Linked DNA regions of Saccharomyces cerevisiae S288C. Changing the gene in region 1 together with any one later gene gives a genetic interaction. Each region holds a gene or a part of one and is shown in the gene's direction. Other genes may lie near its edges.

Region 1 (3,964 bases):
TTCTATCCTCTTCTTGTCGCAAAATAGCATGCACAATCTATCTATGCCAAGGCCAAAGCCACCTACTGGAGGCATACCGTATTTCATCGTCTCAACATACTGGTAGTCAATAACAGGCGATAAGGTCTCAGTTTTGTTTCCTGTCAATTCGTTAATCTGCTTTTGTTGTAGAAACTTCTGCAGTTGTAATTGGGGGCAATTTTCCTCTTCGTAAGCATTGATGTATTCCTTACCTTTGATGAAGACTTCGAATCTCTTCGTGACTTGCTTATTTTGCGGATCCGTCTTGGCTAAGGGCGATAATATTGCAGGTTGATGGTATATTACCGTAGGCAAGGTTGATTGACAATGGCGCTGCTCGAGGAACACGTCCGATAGTTTATTTAGGATTTGCAGCGAAGATAATTGCCCAGTGTTATCTGCAGAAGGAAAATACTTCTTCGCAATGTCTTTCGGTAAAGCCTTCAAAAGTTCGCTCGGCTTATTGATATCCAATCCAGAGTTCATTAGATCAATGCCAAGCTCTTTGTTCAAAGTGGGCAGGAATTCGACTTTTCTAAACTTCCAATTATTCTCGGATAGTGCCAGATGTAATTCACTAAACGTCTTAGGGACAGGCAGACGGGTATCTTGAAAGAACTTTTGCAAGTTAGTAATCAAAAATTTGAACAAATCTTCAGTCCTTGTGACTATATCGTCCATTGACATGTAAGTTTCATAGAATTCTAAAGTGGAAAACTCAGCATTATGCGTGGAATCAATGCCTTCGTTTCGAAAGACCTTTCCTATTTCGTATACTTTTTGTAAACCACTAATTATAAGCCTCTTCAGCCATAATTCTGGTGCAATACGCAACTCCAAATGGTCGAAGTCCTTGGACGACGTTATAAAGGGCTTCGCCATGGCACCGTTGGACTTTGATGACAGTATAGGCGTTTCAACCTCAACGAAGTTTCTGTCGTCGAGAAACTTCCTCAAAAGTTTGATGATACGCGCCCTTACTAGCAGTGTCTGAGTGCCGTTTAATTGGTAGTCAACAACTCTATTAGATTTGATCTTGGTTTCATCATTCAGTCTGGAAGGTAACGGCAGTTGCGAAACAGACAATACTATAGGTAGCTTATTACATATCAAGGACAGCATCTTGACTCTGGATTGGGAAAACCCGGGATAACCGAGCGCCTTAATATAATCTCCTTTCTTCAAAAAGTTCATATATTCTGAGAAATTCGCCTTATCCTCACTACTCCCACCAATTTTATTGTAGTTTACGATCAACTGCAGTTGCGTATCATTCTTCAATCCGCTACTGCCGTTGTAAAGATCTATAAAAACAATCTTCTGGCCTGAAAACCTAATGCTTTTAATCCTGCCATTAATACTAAGTAACAAATTAGGATTATCCTCATGGTGTAATGTGGCTGGGTTGCCCAAGAATCTCTCATTAAAGTCTGCGATAGTGACTTCTTTATACTCCTGGCAAAGATCGTGGAGTGCTGATTCTGACATTGACGGATAGTATCTACCCAGGTCCTTCACAATCTGACCGTTCCTCCTGGTTGCCTCCATCTTACTTGTGTCGACCGCGTGTGCCAGAGAATACGGCCTGCTCCTGCTACTTCGACACTTGCACCACAGCCATCTCGGTGCAAACGTTAAACTGCGTCTTTTTAACAGCACATTCATCGGCAATCATGTAACATAACACCATTATAAAAGTATCCCACTATTCACCGTCATTTCGGGTACTAATTAAAGCCTCTCTTTTAGTATATTTATCTCGGCGAAGAGCACTCCGCGGCGCCCAGGGGATTAGATTTTCGCTTTTATCACGAATAAAAGACTAATCCTTTCACAGATCTAAATATTTCAAATAGGAACAGGTACGGTAAAAAGAGCTTGAGGAGAATCTAAGTGCTGTCAAAGGAAACTGCCAAAAAAGACGGTATGTGCGTGTACAAGTCAAATTCGAACAACAGCAACCCTTCTTTTATCTTCGAAAGAACCGTGCAAGAGGCAAGTTCAAACGATTTATTTCTTCAACCTCCGGTTTCCGCCTCCAACACATCTCATAGCTCAAGATCTAATAGTTTTTACAACTTGCAGACCATTTCTCCGATACCTATCTCTGGTAGCGAGGTTAGAACTCCATCGTTGAGGAAGAACTCCAATAATGTTTCCTCTCCGCTAGATAACGTCATACCAACGTCTAGGTCGGCGTCGAACTCCACCACAAGCTCGCTAGCACATCAAGAGTACATCTTGAACCCCATTTGCAACATGCAAAATCATCACCATCGCCGTCGTACGTTAGAAAACTCGGTGGCTCCAGCTTTAGATGCTAGTTGCTCAATAGTGAACGATGAGAACACTGACCTGAGCGATGTCGATATGGTTTATTCAAGAAGACCTTCCTCTGCTGTGAGCCTAAACATGGCCCTGTTGGCTAGAACGAATAGTGCCACTCTTCCCTCATCAGAATCTTCGCCAGCATCGCCAGATCTTAAACTTTCGAGATCTCATTCGCATTCTGCGGCTACACGTCCCACCTTGAATAACATCAATAACACCGGGATGACCACCACAACTTCAAATGGCGAACCAAACTCCAGAATACTAAGATTCTACTCTTACGTCGATATGTTGAATGATGAAAAACTTGCACAGGCCAATAATACGCCTACATCTAGACCACCTATGAAATCCCAAGCGTACTCATGCCCTTTCATCCTCAAGAGGTCCCCACCACAAGCCTATTCTTCATCGTCAGCAACAACGACATTTTCCAACCCCTTCATCAAAACTACAGAATTACCAGCTACTTCGCCTTATGTATCTCCGCAGCAATCTGCGAGACAATATTCAAATAATGCTAATAACAATGCAAAATCCCCAAAAAACCGGTCATCTTCGATACTATTTCAAAGACAATCCATTTTATCAAACGTTGACCCTGTTGCAAACATGCACAAGAATCCCAAGTTCCAAATAGAATCAAGTGACAGCGAAGAAGAAGATTTAACCATGGACATGCTAGATCCTTCCTTTCCGTTAAGTTCGTCTTTGCGTTCAAGTGCAAACTTGGCAAGTAATCCCGAATTAGCAACCCAGACGCCTTTATCGACATCTTCGTCATATACAGCAATAGGCAAGCCCATGCCTTTATCAACAGATCCTTCTTACGTGTCTTCTTCTAATACGTTATCCTCCGAACATGAGTTAAGAGTTGAAAAAGTCAGTGAAGTGCTTAAGAAAAAAGTTTCAAATGGTGGATTTTCAACTGAATTTAATAGTTGTGATACATAAATTTCCTTTCTGCACCTCTTCCCTTCGTTCGTTTTGTTCTTTTAAATTTATGTCTTCATATGGTTATTTTTTTTATGTAGATACTCTCACAGATACATTGATAAACAATTAAGAAAAAAAAAAAACGCAAAAATAAAAATAAATCATGTGTTATGCTATCTCTTCTTTTCTCTTATATTCCCTCTAAGACGCTTTTTTTTTTTTTTTTTTTTTAAGAATACCATATTAGACTTACATAAGGCCTCATCGGCCTTCTATTTTAACCTTTACAAATCTATAAAAAAATTCACAAATAGTCTTTTTTATTGGCAGTCCTTATGAATCTTCTCAACTGCCACTCAACATCAGCGTCCTTATTTTCTAAAGTTCCCAACCTCAGTTCAAACAACCTCATCTCAAATCTAGGACCAACTTCGGCAATCTCTACTCCCTCTCTTGTTCTCACATATACATGCTGTCTAACGCTAATGAAATCACCCCTATTCGCAAAAGTGATTACTCTTTCGGAATCTTTTTTGGGCCCCGCATTGAACAAGTGCTTTAAAATACAGACTACTCTTTTCCCTAAAGCGGTAGTAAAGTTATCAAATATTAGATGTGGATTCACTTCGCTTTGGTTACCAGCATTTATAATATCATGTCTCATAACAACATTGTG
Region 2 (3,911 bases), on another chromosome or scaffold:
AGAAACCATTCCTCCCCGTTACAGTTTAGATTACCTCCCCTTTTTCTTTCGTACTTTTTATATTTTTATCGTTTGATATTTACAAGAAATTAAATCTATCATATAGCCTTTATTTACTAAAGCCTATGCTTAAGGTTCTCGTATACACAAAAGGTAATGCAAGTGGATGGAATGGCCCGTACTAAGTTTGCAGATAGGCCCTTATAAAGTCCAACAAAACCATCATTAGCAATGATTAATTTTATCAAAGGAAAGAGCCTAAATTTTTGCTCATTGGCCCTGAAACTTTGTAAGTTTGATTTCAATAATTGAAAAGGGTAAACCAAAGTGACGGAGACCATTTTTCCCAACGATGTGATTTCAATGGTTTCAAGATTTGTTAAATGGATGTCAAGCCCATTTTCCCTCTTCCGTCGCAATTTTCTTTGCTTTAAGGTATCGTAAACTGCAAAATATAAGGCACCTTGCGAAACACCAAACAGTGCGGGTACAAGGCCCTTCCATAGGCCCTGGAAGCCATCAGTTCGTAACAGTTGTTGGACACCGTTGTACATAGAAGTGTACGCTCCTTGGGCGCCTTTACTTGTAGACATTATCCTGGTCTTTATAACCCAGATAGGGTTTGTTAGGATAGCTGTCATCAACCCACTGGAAGCACCGGCAGACAAATAAATAAGCGAATTCATTTTGTGGTCGTTCCCAACACCTTTAAGCTGTGTTTCCCCTGGCTTTGCCACTGACTTGTATATCAATTCTTTCGTGACACCATATAAACCGAAATAAACTCCCCATGCAATGGCATTTCCAAACAAATTTATGCTTAATCCGCGATACAGTTCGTTCGTAACACTACGTCCACTATTCGCCGACGAACGTATAATCTCTTTGATTACCATAAATGGGCCGTAATGGGCCTTTTGTGCGCTTGTAGCGGATAATTGCAAACGAACCTTCAGTAAATCTAATGGATGCACTACCAATGTGGTGACGGATCCCGCGGACAGACCTGAGATAACCTCCTTCTGCAGTGGCGTCCACTGGTGATCGACCATATTATCAAGAGCTTCCTGCTGCGTGCTGGTTTTGCAAAGTACAAAGACAAGATATTGTACATATTCCTATGAAAGCTACTGCTCTTCACGTACTCCTTCACTTTTTTTTTTTCAGTTTAAGTTTTCCAATTTTTTTGTAAGATGAACCTTTCAGCAAATCTGTTAAGAGTCAATTTCCTCGGTAAGAAATATAAAATATAAATGAATATAGATTATAAAACAGACTGTACTTAAACAGCCCCCGTCAATACGATAACGCAGTAAAATAAATGCTCATCATGATAAATCCAACAAAAAAATAAACGGAAGGAAACTGAAAAGAAAAAAAAAGGAAACGAAGAAAAACATAATTTATCGTTTGATAGCAGTAAGTCGCAGATCAAGTCGCGCCTGTATCCTTACAAACATGACGACATTGAGCTGTACAAAGCTATGACCAACCGTTCCATAATTAACTCTTTTCAACACATTGAAAATAAGACTTCCCCCATCGAAGCATCAAGTTCTTGCATGTCACAAGATACTTGATCGTAACCTCCTGAAGGTCCCTTTCAGAAACACATGGAGTGTAGTTTACTAGGAAGGAAGAAGAGACATCGAAAACTTTTTCACTTTATATAGGTGAGAAAAATGGTGCAAGAGAGCATGACCGTGTATGGTGACATATAAATGGTTGTTGGCAGCGAATTTAACAACACTGCAGATGTAGATGTCGTAGCTATCCTTCTCACGTTGTTGAATGCTGACTATTTTGTTATTAAGCAACGCCTTGTTAGTGCTTGTTTTACAAAGCGTATTAAATGGTATTTTATTTATGCTATCGCTTTATTATCTTTATTTTCATCACGTAACACGGTGTGTGCGCCATATTAATGTTGCAACAGTCGTGAGGTGATTAACAAACAGTATCAGACTAAACTCACCCTTTGGTGATATGCAATTTCTTGAGGCGCAAAAGGTTGATCCTGAAAGCTTTTGTGATAGACTACCTTCAAGCAAAGCGAACGTAAACGGCAAAGATGGATACCAGCAACCACAACCAAGACCACGACTCCCACGTGGCGGCACAGAGGGAGAACGACAATAATTATATGCCACCTTCCCCCTCCATGAGCGAGAGTTCTATGATTTTTGAAAGAAATGTAGAGGACCCATCATACCTTTATAAAACGGTGTCAAACAACGCTGCAAACTCTCTCTCTAGGCAGAGCAGCAGGACCAGTTTGTTCAATCATAATAATTCTAGTAATAGGAACTTCCATAACTTAAGCCAGAGATCGTCTGCTGTGAATCTACATTTGCAACCTTCTAGGACTAATGAGTCAATAGCATCGTACCAGACATACAATCCGGATTTTGTTGTGCAGACTCCACTGGATCACCGTCGTACCTTAGAGAATTTCGTCCCTCCTGCATTAGACGCTGGCTGTTCTATTGTAACTGACGACACGACTGGCCTTGATGACGTTGATATGGTTTATTCGAGAAGGCCATCTACCATCGGCCTGGATAGAGCCCTAGGTAGGACAAGAAGTCTTTCGTCACAATCTTTTGATAACGAAACGTCGCCTGCGCATCCAAGATCTCCCAACGACCATGGTTCAAGACTACTAAGGTTTTATTCCTACGCTGACATGTTGTCCGATGACAACAATAACAACGTTAGTAATGCGACATCAACATCATCAACTGCGAACCCCTTGAGAAGACCCCCAATGCAAGGTCACTACTCGTTCTCGTCGTCCCTTTTGAATTCTCCTTCTCATTTGCCTTCCCCCCCATCAGCTTCGGCATCACCACCTCAGCATATGAACTTCACCAACCCTTTCATCATATCTAGACGTTACTCTAACACAACGATCAACAATGCCAATGGGGGAACCAGCGCTGGAAGCACTACGGGGGCCGCACTATCAAGATCGCCATCGAACCAACAGTACTTACTTAAACAACAAAGGTCACCTTCAGGGAGCGCCCGTTCAAGAAGAAACAGCAATAGGCCCGGCAGTGCTGCCAACATTATGATCGGGAAACCTAAATCCAAATTCCATATGGAATCCAGTGGCAGTGAAGGGTTTTCTTCCGAAGAGGAGGACAACACTATGATTGAAAGAGATAAACTCAATCTAAAGCAAAAATTGCAGTCACAACTGGCACAACCACCATCAATTGCCAACATGGTTAACGATAATCACAATAATACTAATAAACACAAGAATACTATTAATAATAACATCAAAAATAGCCCTGCGTTCACAAACTCGAATCCAAGTTCAAAATCAAATTCAAACTCTACAATAACCTCTATGAATCCAGACACAACCAAATAAAGAAAACTGAAGGGCCGCGATTGTTCATTTCTTCAACCTTCTTCTCCTACTCTAAAAATTCATTTAAGTCTCTTTTTTCCATATATATAGATATATAACGGTATTTTATGTATGCACGTATACCCCAATAATGCCACTAATTTACTCCGTTTTCCAATCCATAATCAGCAAAGACCATATGTGATTTCAAATATAAAAAATGAGAAACATGTGAATATGTATATATGTTATGCGGGAACCAACCCTTTACAATTAGCTATCTAACTAGTCCTTTTTCGAGCTCCAGAATTTACCATCACCCTTATCATTCCATTCTTTGAATTTGTTCTTGGCTTCATCGTACTTTTTCAACGCTTCATCGTACTTCTTTTGGGCCTCATCTTTTAAAGCCTGCTTGTCATTGTCGACCTTGGAAGTCCATCCAGACCACCAGTGGCTGCCGTACTGTTTCAAGTCCTCCTTCGCCTTAGATAACGAGTCCATGGCATCGGACACGTTCTTATCCAGTTGTTTCTTTGAATTCTCATAA
Region 3 (3,374 bases), on another chromosome or scaffold:
AGACATTCAACCAAACCGCCGCTCAAACAATGTCCTCATTACTTGCCATTGCGTGTGCATCCCTACTGATTCCCGCTGCCTTTAGAGCCACCCTACCTCATGGCAAGGAAGACCACTTCATCGATGGAAAAATATTGGAGTTATCCAGAGGCACCTCTATTGTTATTCTCATCGTTTACGTTTTGTTCTTATATTTCCAGCTAGGGAGCCATCACGCCTTGTTTGAGCAACAAGAAGAAGAGACCGATGAAGTTATGAGCACCATTTCCAGGAATCCACATCACTCTTTGAGTGTCAAGTCATCATTGGTGATACTTCTAGGTACAACTGTGATCATCTCTTTTTGTGCGGATTTTCTAGTCGGTACGATAGACAACGTTGTTGAATCTACCGGGCTATCTAAAACATTTATAGGTTTGATTGTCATTCCTATTGTGGGTAATGCCGCAGAGCATGTCACTTCAGTCTTGGTGGCCATGAAGGATAAGATGGATCTGGCGCTAGGTGTTGCCATCGGTTCCTCTTTACAAGTTGCCTTATTTGTTACACCATTCATGGTTCTTGTGGGCTGGATGATCGATGTTCCAATGACGCTAAATTTCTCCACTTTTGAAACCGCTACTCTTTTTATTGCTGTTTTCTTATCCAATTACTTAATTCTCGATGGTGAGTCAAACTGGTTGGAGGGTGTCATGTCTCTAGCTATGTATATTTTGATTGCAATGGCATTTTTCTATTATCCAGACGAAAAAACCCTTGACTCTATTGGAAATAGTTTATGAGTAAGAACAGTAGCGCAGAAATTCACCATTCTCTTTTTTTTTATATTTTATCTTCTTCGTAATTCTATCGATGGACCAATACAAAGATGATTATGACTAGCAAGTCATTATTATGATCGTTATATTATACATATTATGTTTACGCAACTAATTTTTATATCGAATTTTATCTGAAAAAAAGTTTTCAAAACCAACAAAATATTTTGTACACTCTTCGAAACTCAAATTCTGCACCATTTCCATTCTGATAAAAGGTTTAATATTTCGAAGCTTCTCAACTACAGCTCGTGTTCTTCTTGCAGCACATCAGCTGCTTTGCTGCACTGTTCAGGGTAACGTTATTCATTACAACGAGAATATTTAGGAATTTTGCTCAAATTCATGGAGCTTCCTACATCATTGCACAACAGAATTTCGTTTTGTAGTATAGTTTATTAGAAACAAATGTGAATAGATCATGAGACGCGAAGCCCTATTTTAGCGGATTTTAGCCTTACATTTCTGAGTGAGAATGCCAGCTGAAACACATTCTTGTTACATCTGTCACGGCATTCCAGCTGTAAAAAACCAGCAGATATCGCATAAAAAAATGGCCAGCTATAGAATAAAATTAGCCCAGCTATATTTTTATAGCGTCTTTTGATGACGCGAAAAGTAGACTTCGCGTAACACGAAAAATGCTGGTGCAGGTGGATTTTTTTGGCAGATACTACGGTCAATTCTCCGCTCGAAGATTTTTATAGGCCTGGCTAGTTACCTATTTAGTGCAAATTGGGAAGAGATCTATTGTTCCCGCAGACACGCTAAGTGGTAGCTGTAACTTCGGAGACGTGTGAGACCTTCCTCAAACATGTTACAGGTTGATCGATTTACACATCTAATGCAAGTTTAAGTGCTTCTTAAGTGTTTTTTTCTTTAGTCTTATAAGTTCTCCTTTCTTTCACTTTATAATTCTCCTTTATAAAAGTAAGACCCGGTGCTAAACAACCTGATCCGACAAGAGCAATTTCAATACGGCAGCAACTTTTTACTACAAAAGATGTCAAACTACGAAGCCTTGCTGAAATTCAATAGGAAGGCTGTATCTAAGGAAATGGTGCAATATCTAGCATCGACCACAGCTTCCATTATCAAAATTAAGAAGACGAATAGTATGATAGATATTGCATTGCCAGCACCACCGTTGACTAAATTCATCAACAGACTGATCAAGCATTCTAACGTTCAAACTCCGACTCTGATGGCTACCTCTGTATATTTGGCCAAATTAAGATCAATAATACCGAGTAACGTTTATGGTATAGAGACCACCAGGCATAGAATATTCTTAGGTTGCCTAATATTAGCTGCAAAAACGTTAAATGATTCCTCCCCTCTTAACAAACACTGGGCCGAATATACGGACGGCCTTCTCATCCTAAGGGAGGTTAATACTATTGAAAGGGAACTATTAGAATATTTTGATTGGGACGTCACCATTTCCACAGATGATTTAATTACATGTCTCTCGCCATTCTTGAAGCCTATCAAAGAGGAGCAGTTGTACAAATCGCAAAGAGACTGTCGCACGTTGAAAAATTTTTCTGCTCAAGAAAAAGACATAGTAAACAAAACATCCATTTCCCATTCGCGCTCATCGTCCAATATGTCTATCCCATCTTTAGCTTCCACTTCGACCCTCTCCACGTTGGAATCTAGAAGATCGAATTTATCCAATTATAGTAACAGAATACGAACTTTGCCCGAACTACACGAATCCAATAACATTAGCGACAAGTTTTCTCCGCGAACATACAACATAGACTCCAAACACGATAACAAGGAAAATAGGCCAATACCGACAATTAAGCCTTTTAATTTTAGTAAAGCGCGCCCTGTGATCTTGAAAACTGGGTTAAACAAACAGATAATAAAAGAAGATACAAAAGTAAAGAAATCGAATTGGTCAAATTACTTCAAATCGTGATTTTAAATGTCGAAATTATGCCTGGCCTGCGTTTCTTCATGGCACTTTCGGAAAAGGCGGAAGAACACAGGTAAATGTTCTTACGACCGAGGTCCTACAGCCTCCCTTTTTTCTTATTTTACATATTAATATACATAAATATACCATAATGCATTCTTTTTCTAATGATTTAGCTCTCCTTTTTTTGACAAATTTGAAAATAAATATAAAAAGGGCCATAAAATATTGAGTTAAAATTGACGATTTTTTTTATAGAAATGACTTGAATTTACGATTTAAAATAAAAATATACCTGGCATATAACTAACTATACAAATCATCATCTTCCTCCGCATTAGAACCAAATGCAGCACCTGCTCCACTTGGAGCACTATTATTACTGTTAGCATTGTCCGTAGCCGTAGTACCTAATGGAGCGTCATTAAAGTTGAAATTACTGAATTGACCTCTAGATGCTTTCATTTGCTGTGAGTATGCTTCATAACGACGCAATTCAGCATCTGAAACAGAACGTTTAGCGGTCTTCATAGCTTCTGCGAAATGCTCCTTTGTAATATATGGAACAGGATCTACTTCTGGTTCTTGTTCAGCCTTTGCTCCCTCATCTGTCATTTCCACGTCTTCAC

The links.
Region 2: mutations in MLF3 (region 1) and VHS2 impair growth when combined (synthetic growth defect), as found in Saccharomyces cerevisiae (one study listed by BioGRID).
Region 3: of MLF3 (region 1) and PCL2, extra expression of one rescues a mutant of the other (dosage rescue), as found in Saccharomyces cerevisiae (one study listed by BioGRID).

What each region holds. Positions count from the first base shown.
Region 1 is NC_001146.8:486,108-490,071, reverse strand, and holds MLF3 (Mlf3p), read left to right. Parts: upstream 1-1,947; coding exon 1,948-3,306; downstream 3,307-3,964. Other genes in the region: lysine--tRNA ligase MSK1, read right to left, coding at 1-1,686; snoRNA-binding rRNA-processing protein IMP4, read right to left, coding at 3,593-3,964.
Region 2 is NC_001141.2:94,536-98,446, reverse strand, and holds VHS2 (Vhs2p), read left to right. Parts: upstream 1-2,071; coding exon 2,072-3,382; downstream 3,383-3,911. Other genes in the region: flavin adenine dinucleotide transporter FLX1, read right to left, coding at 117-1,052; YIL134C-A (uncharacterized protein), read left to right, coding at 1,722-1,925; OM45 (Om45p), read right to left, coding at 3,647-3,911. UniProt on the Saccharomyces cerevisiae protein: Can suppress the synthetic lethality of the hal3 sit4 double mutation when overexpressed, suggesting that it is involved in the G1-S transition.
Region 3 is NC_001136.10:233,106-236,479, forward strand, and holds PCL2 (cyclin PCL2), read left to right. Parts: upstream 1-1,821; coding exon 1,822-2,748; downstream 2,749-3,374. Other genes in the region: VCX1 (Vcx1p), read left to right, coding at 1-782; AAA family ATPase CDC48, read right to left, coding at 3,052-3,374. UniProt on the Saccharomyces cerevisiae protein: G1/S-specific cyclin partner of the cyclin-dependent kinase (CDK) PHO85. Essential for the control of the cell cycle at the G1/S (start) transition. Together with cyclin PCL1, positively controls degradation of sphingoid long chain base kinase LCB4.